Linked DNA regions of Anolis sagrei. The protein of the gene in region 1 interacts with the protein of each later gene in a biochemical or structural test. Links are inferred from orthologs where the notes say so. Each region holds a gene or a part of one and is shown in the gene's direction. Other genes may lie near its edges.

The links. The genes of interacting proteins can lie anywhere in the genome.
Region 2: the proteins of LDLR (region 1) and PCSK9 form a complex in vitro, tested with the Homo sapiens proteins (3 studies listed by IntAct, with this or other methods). The link is inferred for Anolis sagrei from reciprocal best matches to the Homo sapiens genes LDLR and PCSK9.

Annotation. Positions count from the first base shown.
Region 1 is NC_090022.1:164,561,884-164,569,357, reverse strand, and holds the start of LDLR (low-density lipoprotein receptor), read left to right. Parts: upstream 1-4,463; 5' UTR 4,464-4,639; coding exon 4,640-4,715; intron 4,716-7,474.
Region 2 is NC_090024.1:171,681,079-171,688,366, reverse strand, and holds the start of PCSK9 (proprotein convertase subtilisin/kexin type 9), read left to right. Parts: upstream 1-4,247; 5' UTR 4,248-4,526; coding exon 4,527-4,733; intron 4,734-7,288.

The DNA of each region.
Region 1 (7,474 bases):
TGAAATGCAAAACAATATAATAAGTGACATAACAATATAAAATCAGACATTAAAACACAAAAGATTTTGCTGGGCAGGGCCAAATGCTTCACACTAGCTTTCAAGACATCACTGTATTCTTCTCCAGGTAGAGATTTTAAAGGGTAAAGGAGAAAAATGAGGGGGCATGCTCATTCTGCATTGAAGAGCCTTCCTGTTTACGGCTGTTGAATGATAACACTATGTAACACTGTGACAAAATTCCAAAAGGCAAAGCTTGATTTTGCAATTTTTATAAGGGCATCAACACTATGTAACTCAATTTTTGTACCTGGTTTATAAATACCTTTTCCTAATTGGTTCTATCATTAAAAAAAAAAAAACATGAGAAAGTGCATTAAACTTTAAAAGTGTTTTTGCAGGATGTTGTTGTTCATTCGTTCAGTTGTCTCTGACTCTTCGTGACCTCATGGACCAGCCCACGCCAGAGCTCCCTGTCGGCCGTCACCACCCCCAGCTCCTTCAAGGTCAGTCCAGTCACTTCAAGGATGCCATCCATCCATCTTGCCCTTGGTCGGCCCCTCTTCCTTTTACCTTCTACTTTCCCCAGCATAATTGTCTTCTCTAGGCTTTCCTTTCTCCTCATGATGTGGCCAAAGTACTTCAACTTTGTCTCTAGTATTCTTCCCTCCAGTGAGCAGCCGGGCTTTATTTCCTGGAGGATGGACTGGTTGGATCTTCTCTCAGTCCAAGGCACTCTCAGAACTTTCCTCCAACACCACAGCTCAAAAGCATCGATCTTCCTTCGCTCAGCCTTCCCTAAGGTCCAGCTCTCACATCCGTAGGTTACTACAGGGAATACCTTGGCTTTGACTATGCGGATCTTTGTTGCTAGTCTGATGTCTCTACTCTTTACTATTTTATCGAGATTGGTCATTGCTCTCCTCCCAAGAAGTAAGCGTCTTCTGATTTCCTGGCCACAGTCTGCATCTGCAGTAATCTTTGCGCCTAGAAATACAAAGTCTGTCACGGCCTCCACATTTTCTCCCTCTATTTTCCAGTTGTCAATCATTCTTGTTGCCATAATTTTGCGGGATATCCTGAAGCATTTTGCTAAAGTTTTTCAATGAACATTTCGAGTCTCGACAAATTCAACCTAGTTTGTGGCAGCCACAAAAATGAAATTTCTGGAGCGTAACAACTTTCAAAGTAAGTATTGCACAGCAAATAACACTTTCACACAAGGAACAGATACTTTTTTTTTCAAATTTTGTTAGTGTAATGAATGGAGAAAGTGAATAATGTAACAAAATTTGAAAAAAATTCTCTTCCTGGTTTGAAAGTGTAACAGTATTTCCTGTTTAATTGTGTAGCACTTTGAAAATAGTTGCTATACTCCAGAAACTTTGTTTTTGTAGCTGCCATTTTTAACTGTTCAATCTGCCAGTTTATTATTATCATTATTATTATTATTTATCCTGCTTTTCTCCCATGGGTGGGATAAATCTATATAAATAAAAATGTAATGTTCGTTTGTGGGATTGACAGAACTCAAAAAACACTGGACGAAATGACACCAAATTTGGAGACAAGATACCTAACAACCCAATGTATGTCCTTCGCTAAAAAATGATTTTGTCATTTGGGAGTTGTAGTTGCTGGGATTTATAGTTCACCTACAATCAAAGAGCATTCTGAACCCCATCAACAATGGAAATGAACCAAACTTGGCACACAGTTCTCCTATGACCAACAGAAAATACTTGAAGGGTTTGGTGGGCAGTGTCCTTTGGTTTTAGAGTTGTAGTTCACCTACATCCAGAGATCACTGTGGACTCAAACAATGATGGAGCTGGACCAAACTCTATACGAAGACTCAATATGCCCAAATGTGAACACTGGTGGAGTTTGGTGAAAACAGAATCTTGACATTTGGGAGTTGTAGTTGCTGGGATTTTTAGTTCACCAACAATCAAAGAGCATTCTGAACCCCACAAACATTAGAATTGGGCCAAACTTTCCACATAGAACCCCCATGACCAACAAAAAATACTGTGTTTTCTGATGGTCTTTGGTGACCCTTCTAACACCCTTTTATGACCTCTGCAGGACTTCAGCCAGGATGACCTCAGCCAGGTTGAGAAATTGTGCCTTAAGACCATCCAGTCCAACTCCCTTCACCAGGGCAAGAAAACATAACCAAAGCCCTCCTCACAAACAGTCATAGATATAGATAGATAGATATGATTCACACACACACAGATATAGTATCATAGATTTGAAAGGGATCCCTAAAGAAGGACAATTCTATGTTGCATGTTTCAGAATAAGCAAACCAGAGAATATTTACATCAACACTGACAAAGAAACAAGAAGAAATAATGTTGACCCACAAGCATCAAGAAGAAATACTGTTATATATCTGTGGAATGACCAGGGTGGGGCAAGGAGCTCTTCCCTGCTGGAGCTAGGTGTGAATGTTTCAACTGACCACCTTGATTAGCATTTGATGGCCTGGCAGTGCCTGGGGCAATCTTTTATTGAGAGGTGATTAGATGTCTCAGATTGTTTTCCCTCTGTCATTTTGCTGTGGTAATTTTAGAGTTTTTGAATACTGGTAGCCAGATTTTGTTCATTTTCATGGTTTCCTCCTTTCTGTTGAAATTGTCCACAGCTGCATGGTACACGGTAGACTCCTGCAGAAGCAACGGACAAGAGGGATCCTCTCACTTCTGCAGGAGTCTACCGTGTACCATGCAGCTGTGGACAAGTCTACTTAGGGACCACCAAACGCAGCATTGCCCAAACATAAATCAAGGAACATGAAAGGCACTGCAGACTAAGTCAACCAGAGAAGTCAGCCTTGACAGAGCGCCTGATGAACCAGCCTGGACACAGCATATTATTTGAGAACACCGAAATGCTGGACCACTCTCACAACTACCATGTCAGACTACACAGAGAAGCCATTGAAATACACAAGCATGTGAACAATTTCAACAGAAAGGAGAAAACCATGAAAATGAACAAAATCTGGCTACCAGTATTAAAAAAAACTCTAAAATTGCAACAGCACAACAACAGAGAGGAAGCAGGCAGGGACATCTAATCACCTCTCAACAAAAGTTTGCTCCAGGCACAGTCAGCCCATTGTATGCTAATCAAGGTGGTCAGTTGATACATTCACACCTAGTTCCAGCAGACAAGAGTCCTTTGTCCCACCCTGGTAATTCCACAGATATATAAACCCTTTTTCCTAGTTCCAACAGACCTCACTATCTCTGAGGATGCTTGCCATAGATGCAGGCGAAAGGTCAGGAGAGAATGCCTCTAGAACATGGCCATATAGCCCAAAAAAACCTACAACTACCCAGTGATTCTGGCCATGAAAGCCTTCGACAATACAGTGATGGGAATGATCACAGGCACAGCCAGCCCATTGTATGCTAATCAAGTGGTCAGTTGAAACATTCACACCTAGCTCCAGCAGACAAGAGTCCTTTGTCCCACCCTGGTCATTTCACAGATATATAAACCCTTTTTCCTAGTTCCAACAGGCCTCACTATCTCTGAGGATGCTTGCCATAGATGCAGGCGAAAGGTCAGGAGAGAATGCCTCTAGAACATGGCCATATAGCCCGAAAAAACCTACAATAACCCAGTGATTCTGGCCATGAAAGCCTTCGACAATACACTTCGACTACACAGTCGACAATACACTTCGACTGTGCCTGTGATGGGAATGATCACAGGCACAGTCAGCCCATTGTATGCTAATCAAGGTGGTCAGTTGAAACATTCACACCTAGCTCCAGCAGACAAGAGTTCTTTGTCCCACCCTGGTCATTTCACAGATATATAAACCCTTTTTCCTAGTTCCAACAGACCTCACTATCTCTGAGGATGCTTGCCATAGATGCAGGCAAAACGTCAGGAGAGAATGCCTCTAGACCATGGCCATACAAAAAACCTACAACAACCCAGACCTTCTTATAGTAACACCTGAGGCACTCCAAGTCGTCAGCTACTGGTCAAAGGACATTTAATCAACTACCAAGCTTGCAAACTTTCTGTTTTGTTTGTTTGTTTAAAAATGCAATGCAACTGTTTGGTTTGCCACTGACACGATAACTTGCTTGACAATGTTGAGCATCCCCCCATTTACAAAAAGTGCAGGAGTCCTTCAGTAGGTAGAATGCAATACCGGGCCATCCCAAGTTGAATTTGGGGGGAGGGGGGTAACTCCAGAGGCGCAACCAAGTTCCCTTGGGTTTCTACGGGATGCCAAAGTAGCCCTCCTGCCCCGCCCGCCCGCGCGCGCATCTGGAGAGAGCCAATCAAAACGAGAGACGGGGCAGGGAGGCACCGACGTCACATCGTGCGTTCGGGGTGACCCCTCCCCGTGCCTGTGTGATGTGGGGAAAGGTTTGAAAATCACCCCATTGGAAGCCCCGCCCCTTTGGCCCGGCCACGAGGAGGAGGCAGGAGGAGCGCGAGGAAAAAGAAGCCTGGCGCCGGCCGCGTGCGCAAAGCAGCCAGTCAGAGAGAGAGCGCGCGAGAGAGGCAGAGAGAGCGGCACGCGCCCACTCCTCACAGCAGACTCACCTGAGGGAGAAAAAGACTCCAAAGAAGGGTTTTTGAAAAGACTGTGAAGCCCACCATGAGCCCACTTGAAGCGACCCACGTCGCCCTGGCGGTCTTCCTCCTCAGCATCCTCGACCACGTTTCTGGCAACGGTAAGGAGTGGCTTCCAATGAAAGGCATTAAATGGTTTTCAATTGGTTCTAATGTCTATGTTGTGTTGACAGTTTGTGCCTATATTTGTATGTTTTTGCATTGTTTTGCATATGTGGAAACCACTCTGAGTCCCCTAGGGGAGATAGGGCGGTATATAATAAAGTTTTATTATTATTATTATTATTAATAATTAGAAAGTAATGGTGAAGCCTCAGGAGTCAAAAGGGTGGAGAGAGAAACTCAAGGGCTAAAGCTTTGAAGGCCTTTGCTCTCTGTGTGCAAACTTGGAGAAGAGTTTGGCCCCACTTTGAAATGCCTTGGTTCAATGTAGTATCATAGAATCAAAGAGTTGGAAGAGACCTCATGGGCCGTCCAGTCCAACCCCCTGCCAAGAAGCAGGAATATTGCATTCAAATCTCCCCTGACAAATGGCCATCCAGCCTCTGCTTAAAAGCTTCCAAAGAAGGAGCCTCCACCACACTCCGGTTTGGGGAAAGCCAGCCTTCCCAGGTAAAAGCAAGCTCTGTATCTTGATATTAGGGATCTATATTACTAGATATTGCCAGCCACATGACCTTGGAGGTGTCTACGGACAACGCTGGCTCTTCGGCTTAGAAATGGAGATGAGCACCACACCCCAGAGTCAGACATGACTGGACTTAATGTCAGGGAACTACCTTTACTATTACTAGGTGTAAGGGATCCGATCCCATCTATTCTTGAAAGCTAAGAAGGTTCACCCTGGCTAGTGCTTGGATGGGAGACCACCAGCAAAAACCAGATTTCAGAGGAAATGAAGAAAATAACCCTGGGACATTGACCAGGCATTCAGGTTTACTACTCCAAGAGAGAGAGAGAGAGAGAGTCAGGATGCATCTTTCCACCTGGAAACCAATGCCCTCGCTGGGAGAAGATGCAGGTCAAGAATAGAGCTCCACAGTCACCTACGGATCCACAAGAATACTGATCCTGGAAGACTATCCTACTCATCCAACGAGGGATTGCCTAAACACACTGTAGACCAGGCCTGGGCCAAGTGGGGCCCTCCAGGTGTTCTGGACTTCAACTCCCACCATTCCTAACAACCTCAGGCCCTTTCCTTTCCCTCCTGAGCCACGTAAGGAAAGGAAGGGACCTGAGGCACACCCAAGGTTCCACAGCACCAACCCACAGCGGTCAAAGTGGTATGGAACTGGCATAGTTCTGAGGCAGCGCTTCTCCTTTTGCACCTCAACCCAGAACACACCCAACCTGAGGAGAAACCCATCCTCCAACTCCTAAAGGAAAGGTCAAGTCCCAATGAATGCTGTGAATATTGGGACCTTCATCTTCCTACTCCTTCCTCTGTGTGAACTTTTCCTGTCATAATGGAGATAAATGGTGCCTTGTAAACTTTGGAGCAAAAAAAAGGATTGTATTGTCGAAGGTTTTCATGGCTGCAATCACTGGGTTGTTGTAGGTTTTTTGGGCTATATGGCCATGTTCTAGAAGCATTCTCTCCTGACGTTTCGCCTTCATCTATGGCAAGCATCCTCAGAGGTTGTCACAACCTCTGGGTTGTTGCAGGTTTTTCAGGATATATGGCCATGTTCTAGAAGCAATCTTTCCTGACGTTTCGCCTTCATCTATGGCAAGCATCCTCAGAGGTTGTGACAACCTCTGAGAATGCTTGCCATAGATGCAGATGAAATGTCAGGAGAGATTGCTTCTAGAACATGGCCATATAGACCGAAAAACCTACAACAACCCAGGAAAAAGGATCGATGCTTGGCCTGGGCTGAGGAAGAAGAAGGATTTGGGGAGGAGGAGCCCCACCCTTCCTTTCCTGCAGGCCAGAGGAGGCTCCACGCCCTTTCCACACATAAGTCTTCCCTCTCCCTTCTCCTTCAGAACCACCACTCAGCCTCTCTTCAAAGTCCTGAAGGTGCACAGCCTTCATACCCTCCTTTTGCCCCTTTGCTCTGCCTAACTCCCTGCAACCCCTCCTTTCTTTAAAAGGGGTGAATAAGAAGGGTAATGGCCTGCAGGCCACAGCATGAAAAGCTTTTTGACAGAAGCACTCCCTGGTTAGACTGAGCTCTCAAAAGGGACTGAGGGTGCATCCACACTGTGGAATGAATGTACTGTAGCTTGAAACCCCATTAACAGCACGGTTCAATGGGAATTGTCACTTTATAAGGTTTGCAGTGTTCTCTTTCAAGTAGTGACCTCAGCAAACTACAAATCCCAGGCTCCCCTAGCATTGTGGTGGCATTTATAGCAGAGTCACATTGCATTAATTCTAAAGTGGTCACTCATACCTGGATGCTCAGATTCATGGGAGCAGCATCTTAGCTTTGCTCAGAGTGAGTTCTCCTTAAAACTGTGCTTTGTCACCTCATTCCACTTGCAAAGAAGAAAGCCCTCCCTCCCAGTAGGAGTTTTGCAACTTTTTAGCAGTAAGTGTAATTTTTAGCAGATGTGTAGCCAGACTCAAGCAGGTGAATAGAGTTAGCACCAATGACCAGCATTGTTTTGGTTTTAATTGGAAATAATAGGGTTGGAAGAAATTCGCCCACCCAGTGCCTTCCTACAAACACACAGTCCAAACACTTCCAACAGCCTGTCTTTGAAAACCTCCAGAGAAGCAGATTCCTCCACACTCGCAGGCAGCAGCGTATTCCACTTTTAGGCAGCTCTTACCATCAGGAATTTTTCTAATGTTTCGGTGGAATGCCTAACATGGGGTGGGGTTTTGTTGCATCTGTTGTGGGTGGGA
Region 2 (7,288 bases), on another chromosome or scaffold:
AAAATAAACTATCCCAGACAACATGCAACAGATGACATTTCTTCACAATACTGTATTTTTCTGGAAAAACTCTTCAGCTGCCAGTCATCCCTTGCATCTTATCTGTGCCCGCAGTCATGAAGAAACTTTTTCTGACATAGTTAATCCAGTGGAATTTGTTTTTCTATGGGGAAGTGAGGGGAGAAAATGCTGCACTATATGACCCCCATATTTGAAGGGGACAATGTCCCCAAATATATTGTAGAAAAAGGAAACCATGGATAATATGGAATGCCTTTTTCCTGCTTCTTGGCAAGGGGTTGGACTGGATGTCTCATGAGGTCTCTTATCTCAACTTATCTCAACTCTGAAATAATTGTACCAATTTGGGTGGCACAAGTTTTTGTCCCTTTCTCTTTCTTGGAAGACTGAACTAATTGTCCCATAGCCAAAAGAGACAGGCCCTTTGCCCCTCTAAACTGCCTTCAGGTGTTATGGAGCACCTCATTCATCACCAGTATTGAAGGGACAGCAAACAGTCTACCCTCCAACTATCCAGGTTTGGCAGTCCTAGTCTTGTTAACCCTTTGCAGTCCTGCTTTCAAATGTCCCAGTTTCTCTGTTCTCATTTCAGGTTACTCAGGCTGGAAACAGAGTCTGAAGCTCGCAAGTAATTTACACTCAGTTTACTCACTAAGAGGAGAGGAGGCAAGTTTATCAAATCTGCAGATGACACCAAATTGAGAGGGAGAGCTATTAACACACCTCAGAGGACAGGACTAGAATCCAAAATGACCTTAACAGATTGGAGAGGTGGGCCAAAACTAACAAGATGGATTTCGACAGGGAGAAATGTACTAGAGAAGGCGGAGAGGGGACATGGTAGTCCTGTTTAAATATTTGAAGAGTTGTCACATTGAGGAAAGGGGTGGGCTTTGTTGACGCTCAGGGAACTAGGACATGGAGCAATGGATCCAAATAGCAGGCAAAGAAATTCCACCTCAACCTTAGGAAGAACTTCCTGTTGGTAATTGCTGTTGGGCAATGGACTATCCTAGCTTGGAGGATTAGGCTTTTAGGTAGAGGCTGGACGGCCATCTGTTGGAGTGCTTTCGTTGTGTCTTCCTACATGACAGAACGGGTTGGACTGAATGGCCCTTGGGGTCTCTTCCTATTTTGATAATAGGAAAAGGCTCTATCCTGCCCTTCCTATGGAGCTTAGGCAAAGGCTAAACTGCTGCCTGTCCTAGCTCCTCATTAGTAACTATTTGTATCATATTGATACATGTTTTCCCCTTTTTTCATCAGTGAAATAGAGGCCCTGGTGGCACAGTGGGTTAAACCCTTGTGCCGGCGGGACTGAAGAGGTTTGATTCAGGGGTGAGTGCAGGTGACCTCCCCTGTCAGCTCCTCCTCCCCATGCAGGGACATGAGAGAAGCCTCGCACAAGGATGGTAAAAACATCAAAATATCCAGGGATCCCCAGGGCAACATCCTTGCAGATAGCCAGTTCTCTCACACCAGAAGCGACTTGCAGTTTCTCAAGTTGCTTCTGACACAAAAATCAGTGAAATGTCAAAGGGTATGCCAGTAGGTTGCTATGATTTTACTGGGCTGTATGGCCATGTTCCAGAAGCATTCTTTCCTGATGTTTCACCTGTATCTATGGCAGGTCTGTTGGAAACTAGACAAGTGAGGTTTATATATTTGTGGAAGGTCCAGGGTGGGACAAAGAACCCTTGTCTGCGAGAGGCAGATGTGAATGTTTCAATTGGCCACAATGATTAGTAGGGCTGGGCAACCACGGAAAAATTTGTTTCTAAACTCGATTTATTTTTTGGGTTTTTTTGCGTTTCGATATTTAAAAGAATTCCAAAATTTTTCTTTAAAAAAGTTCGATATTTACGAAATTTTGTAAAATTACGAAACAATACGAAATGAATACGAAACTATTCGTTAATGGCGGACACGACCGCGCAATACGCTAAAAAACCTCAATATGGGACAGGGGGAACTTTTGAAGCTTCCCTCTCCCTCTGTTGTTGACTGTTGGTGTGATATTTATAATTTTTTTTCACTGATTAAACAAACAACAGCTATAAAACTTGCCCCAGACATGCGGAAATAATAACGAAACGATTTTGAAACGATTTCAAAACGAATACGAAATGAATACGAAGCAATTACGAAACGAATTGAAAAATTCATTTCATTTTTAAGATGCTCCTGAATGGTTCAATATCGCTTCGTTATAAAAAAAAATAACGAATTTTTAACGAATTACGAAATTACGAAACGAAACCGCCCAGCCCTAATGATTAGCAATGAGTAGCCTTTCAGCTTCAAGGTCTGGCTGCTAACTGCCTGGGAGAATTCTTTGTTGGAAGGTTTTAGCTGACCCTGATTGATCCATGCCTGGAATCCCTTGTGGACAATTTCAACAGAAAGGAGGAAACCATGAAAATGGACAAAATCTGGCTACCAGTATTTTAAAAACTCTAAAATCAGAACAGTAAAGAATGAACAAAACTCAGAAACCAAGGGAATTCCAGACAGGAAACAATCAGGGCCAGCCAACACCTCCCAACAAAGGATTTCTTCATGCAGAAATCAACCAGGCTATTCAATGCTAATCAAGGTGGCCAGTTGCAATATTCAAACTTGCCTCAGGAAGACAAGAGTTCTTTCTTTCACCCTGGACACTCCACAGATATATAAACCTCACTTGCCTAGTTTCCAACCTCTGAGGATGCCTGCCATAGATGTGGGCAAAATGTCAGGAGAGATTGCTTCTGGAACATTGCCATACAGCCCAGAAAACTCACAGCAACCCTGGGATTCTGGCCATGAAAGCCTTCGACAACACAGTATGCCAGTAGCTGCCTGATGAGCATACCAGTATGCAAAAAAGGGGGTTGTCACTTTGCCTCAGGCAACCAAATACCTTGGTTTACCCCAGTGTTTCTCACCCTTCCTAATGCTGGGACCCCTTAATACAGTTCCTCATGTTGTGGTGACCGCCAACCATAAAATTATTTTCGTTGCTTCTTCATAACTCTAATTTTGCTACTGTTCTGATTCATAGTGCAAATATCTGCTAAGCAGGATGTATTTTCATTCACTGGACCAAATTTGACACAAATACCCGATATGCCCAAATTTGAATACTGGTGGGATTGGGCAGGGAGATTGATTTTGTCATTTGGGAGTTGTAGATGTTGGGATTTATAGTTCACCTACAGTCAAAGAGCATTCTGAACTTTACCAACAATAGAATTGAACCAAACTTGGCACAAAGAACTCCCATGCCCAACAGAAAATACTGGAAGGGTTTGGTGGGCGCTGACCTTGAGTTTTGGAGTTGTAGTTCACCTACATCCAGAGTGGTCTCAAACAATGATGGAACTGGACCAAACGTGGCACGGATACTCAATGTGCCCTAATGTGAACACTGGTGGAGTTTGGGGGATATTTGGGAGTTGTAGTTGCTGGGATTTACAGTTCACCTACAATGAAAGAGCATTCTGAACCCCACCAATGATAGAAATGGGCCAAACTTCCCACATAGAACCCATGATCAACTGAAAATACTATGCTTTCTGATGGACTTTGGCGACCCCTCTGATACCAATTCATGACCCCCCCCCCCCCGGGGTCCCTGAGCTGGTCTAGCCCCGCTCTGGATAATTCTCCTCAAATGTTAATTTTTGTCAGCATTGGTTGATTTCTGCTAGGAAAACCATGCTTCCCAGGAAGGGATCCTGCAGAAAAGTCGGCGCAGCCTTCCTCGCGCTCTTTGGGACGCTCCTGTTCCAACAAGCTCCCCAAGAAAGCTTCCCAAAAAGAGCCCTTGAGCCGAGAAGCCAGGGCGCCGGGCTCTCCAGTTTCCTCCTCGTCCTCCTCCTCGTCCCGCCTGGAGGCTCAAGTCCTCCAATCAAGTTCAGGCACGGAGCGAGGGAGGGAGAGACACCTTTGCTTTTGTCTGCAGGGGAATGCCTTACCCCCCTCCTGTTCGAAAACACCCCGAAAAGAAAAAAGAAGGAACCCAACCCCTTGTAACCTGAAACGCCTAAGCCTGGGCATCCACCCCACGCGCCCAAAGACTCCCAATTAATGTTTAACAAGCGCGGATGGTCCGATGGGGGAAGAGTGGCGTGATCGGGCCACATCCACGCCCCAAAAGATTGTGAGGAACACGAGAGGATGTAAAGGAAGAGGGAGGGAGGGAGGGAGGGAGGAAAGAAAGGGGAGAAAGTCAGCCAAAGAGAGAGAGAGAGAGAGAGAGAGAGAGGGAAGGAAGGAAGGGAGGAAGAAGGGAGGAGGGCGGGCGCGTGCGGTGCGCGTTCCCGGGGCGTCATTTTCGTGGGCTAATCCCTCGCCAAGCCGCCGCTTGCGAGGCTGAGCAAGGAGCAGCGCTTCGACGGGTTCTAGGTTGAGGCTTTGGGCGGGTTCTAGGTCCCGTCTGTCCACGAGGGCCTTCATTCAACAAGGTCTGGGACTTGGCAAGAGTGAGGACTCTGCTGATCCCCGCTCTCTCAAACATAAAAATGGGAAGGCGCCTCTCTTTGGCGGCTCCGCTGCTGCTGCTGCTTGGGCTTCTCCTGGTCCTCCGCCCGCCTCCCGCGGATTCCAGTGTCGTGGATGCTCCGGACGAAGAGGACGACCCCACGCCCTCCTTGGCTTTAGAGGAGGAGAACCAGGACGAGGTCGGGAAGGACCGGAGCGCCCCCGCCGCCTTCCATCGGAGCAAGAAGGTGACTCGAAAGGGGGGGGAGGGGGGGCGGCTTTCTGCCCACCGAATGCAGTTGGAGCCCACGCTCCCAGCCCTGGCCCGGTCCTAGAGGGTCCTAGAAGTTGTCCATCAACAGAGCCTTTCGCTTTCTGTGCCAGAGAGCGCTGGCTGTCTCGCCAAGCAACTCCTGTGCTTCCATAGCATTGAGCCAGGGCAGGCCCAGGGGGGTCCAAACTGCCTTAGCTCGACGGGTGACTTTGGGCTGGAGGAGCCCCTGGTGGCGCCGTAGGTTAAACCCTTGTGCCAGCAGGACTGCTGACCGAAAGGTCCGTGGTTCGAATCCCCGCATGGAAGCTCCAGCTCCCCATGTGGGGACATGAGAGAAGCCTCCCATAGGATGGTAAAACATCAAATATTCGGGTGTTTCCTGGGAAACGTCCTTGCAGACAGTCAATTCTCTCACACCAGAAGCGACTTGCAGTTTCTCAAGTCGCTCCCTGAAACGAAAAACAAACCTTGTGCTGGAGCCATGCACATGGGGGTGCCAGCTTCCAGTGCAGGGACATGAGAAAAGCCTCCCACAGGATGGTAATACATCAAACATCTGGGCATCCTCTGGGCTACATCCTTGCAAACGGCCAATTCTCTCACAGCAGAAGCAACTTGCAGTTTCACAAGTTGCTGCTGACACACACACACACACACACACCTTGGGCTGGAGCCATGTGCACGGGAGCTTCAGCTTCCAATGTAGGGACATGAGAGAAGCCTCCCATAGGATGATAAAACATCAAACATCTGGGCATCCCCTGGGCAACATCGTCATTGCAGACAGCCAATTCTCTCACAGCAGAAGTGACTTGGAGTTTCTCAAGTCGCTCCTGACACACACTAAAAAAAATCCAACAATAAACACCTTGGGCTGGAGCCATGCGCATGGGAGATCCAGCTTCCAATGCATGGACGTGAGAGAAGCCTCTTACAAGGATGGTAAAACATCAAACATCTGGGCATCCCCTGGGCAACGTCCTTGCAGACAGCTAATTCTTTCACAGCAGAAGTGATTTGCAGTTTCTCAGGTTGCTCCTGACACACACACACACACACACATACCTTGGGCTGGAGCCATGTGCATGGGAGCTTCAGCTTCCAAGGTAGGGACATGAGAGAAGCCTCCCACAAGGATGGTAAAACATCAAACATCTATGATTCATTCTGTTGTGCTCCAGAACTTTGCTGAAAGCCACACAAAGTGTGGTGATCCTCAAGGTACCAGATCCCATCTGATCTTGAAAAAGTTAAGCTGGGGCAGTCCTGGTTAGTACTCAGAAAGGGGATCGGTAACTGGCTGTATTTCAGAGGAAGGGCCTGGCAGAATCAGCTCTGAGGATTTCTTGCCCAAGAAAACCCTACAAAAATTACGGGGCCACCATGAATCTATAGCAGGCATGGGCAAACTTTGGCCCTCCAAGCTGTTAGGAATGGTGGGAGTTGAAGTCCAAAACACCTAGAGGGCTGAAGTTTGCCCATGTCTGATGTATAGGCAACTTGAAGGCACATGGGCAAAGATGCACAGTTCAGAGTGAGGATGAGCTTTGCCTGTTGACCCAGTGGCACATATGAAGTGGGACATTCTTGGCTCCATTGAGCGTTAAAGAAGCATCTTGGGTCTTCTCTGCATTCACTCCAACCACCCTTCCCATTGTTCTTGGTCCTAGCGGTCTGAAGAGTTTCTAGGGGAGGAGCTCCATCACAGAAGCCATGGGACACGGTTTCCCTGTGGGTTCTCCTGCCTCTCCTGCCACCTGTGTGCAGGGTTGGTTCGGCTGTATATAATCGTTGCTTTTGCTTCAGGTGGCAAAATATCTTGGGAGGGTAAGGGTTTAGAGCAGGCATGGGCAAGCTTGGGCTCTTCAGGTGTTTTGGAGTTCAATTCCCATCACTCCTAACAGCCTCAGGCTCTTAGGAATGGTGGGAATTGGAGTCAAAAACACCCGGAGGCCCAAAGTATGCCCATATCTTGTTTAGAGCATGCTAGTTATCTATGACAATGGTTCTCAACCTGTGGGTTCGCAGATATTTTGGGCTTCACCTCCCAGAAAACCTAACAGCTGGTTAACTGGCTAGGATTTCTGGGAGTTGTAGGCCACAACACCTGGGGACCCACAGGTTGAGAACCACTGATCTATGGGTAGATCAGTCCTTGGGAACTGTCATCATCATGGCAACTTTAAGAGTGTACCTTCAAGTTGCTTTTTGACGTATGGCACCCTCATTAATTTAATAGTGTTTTCTTCAGTAGTAGAGAATACTCGGAGGTAGTTTTTGCCAATTCCTTTCTCTGAAATATAGCCCACAGCACCTGGTATTCCATCCAATGGTAACAGGACTGACCATGCTTAGCTCCCACAATCAAACAGGACTTAATGTCATGACTTTAAACAGACGTGAAGTAGGACCTTAGCCTATTATTCCCCCAGTTGTATTAAAGTGGATTACAAAATCACACCATTCTGTTTTGGGTAAGGCAGCGTTTCTCATCCTGGGGGGTCGCAAAGGGTGTGTCAGAGGGGTCGC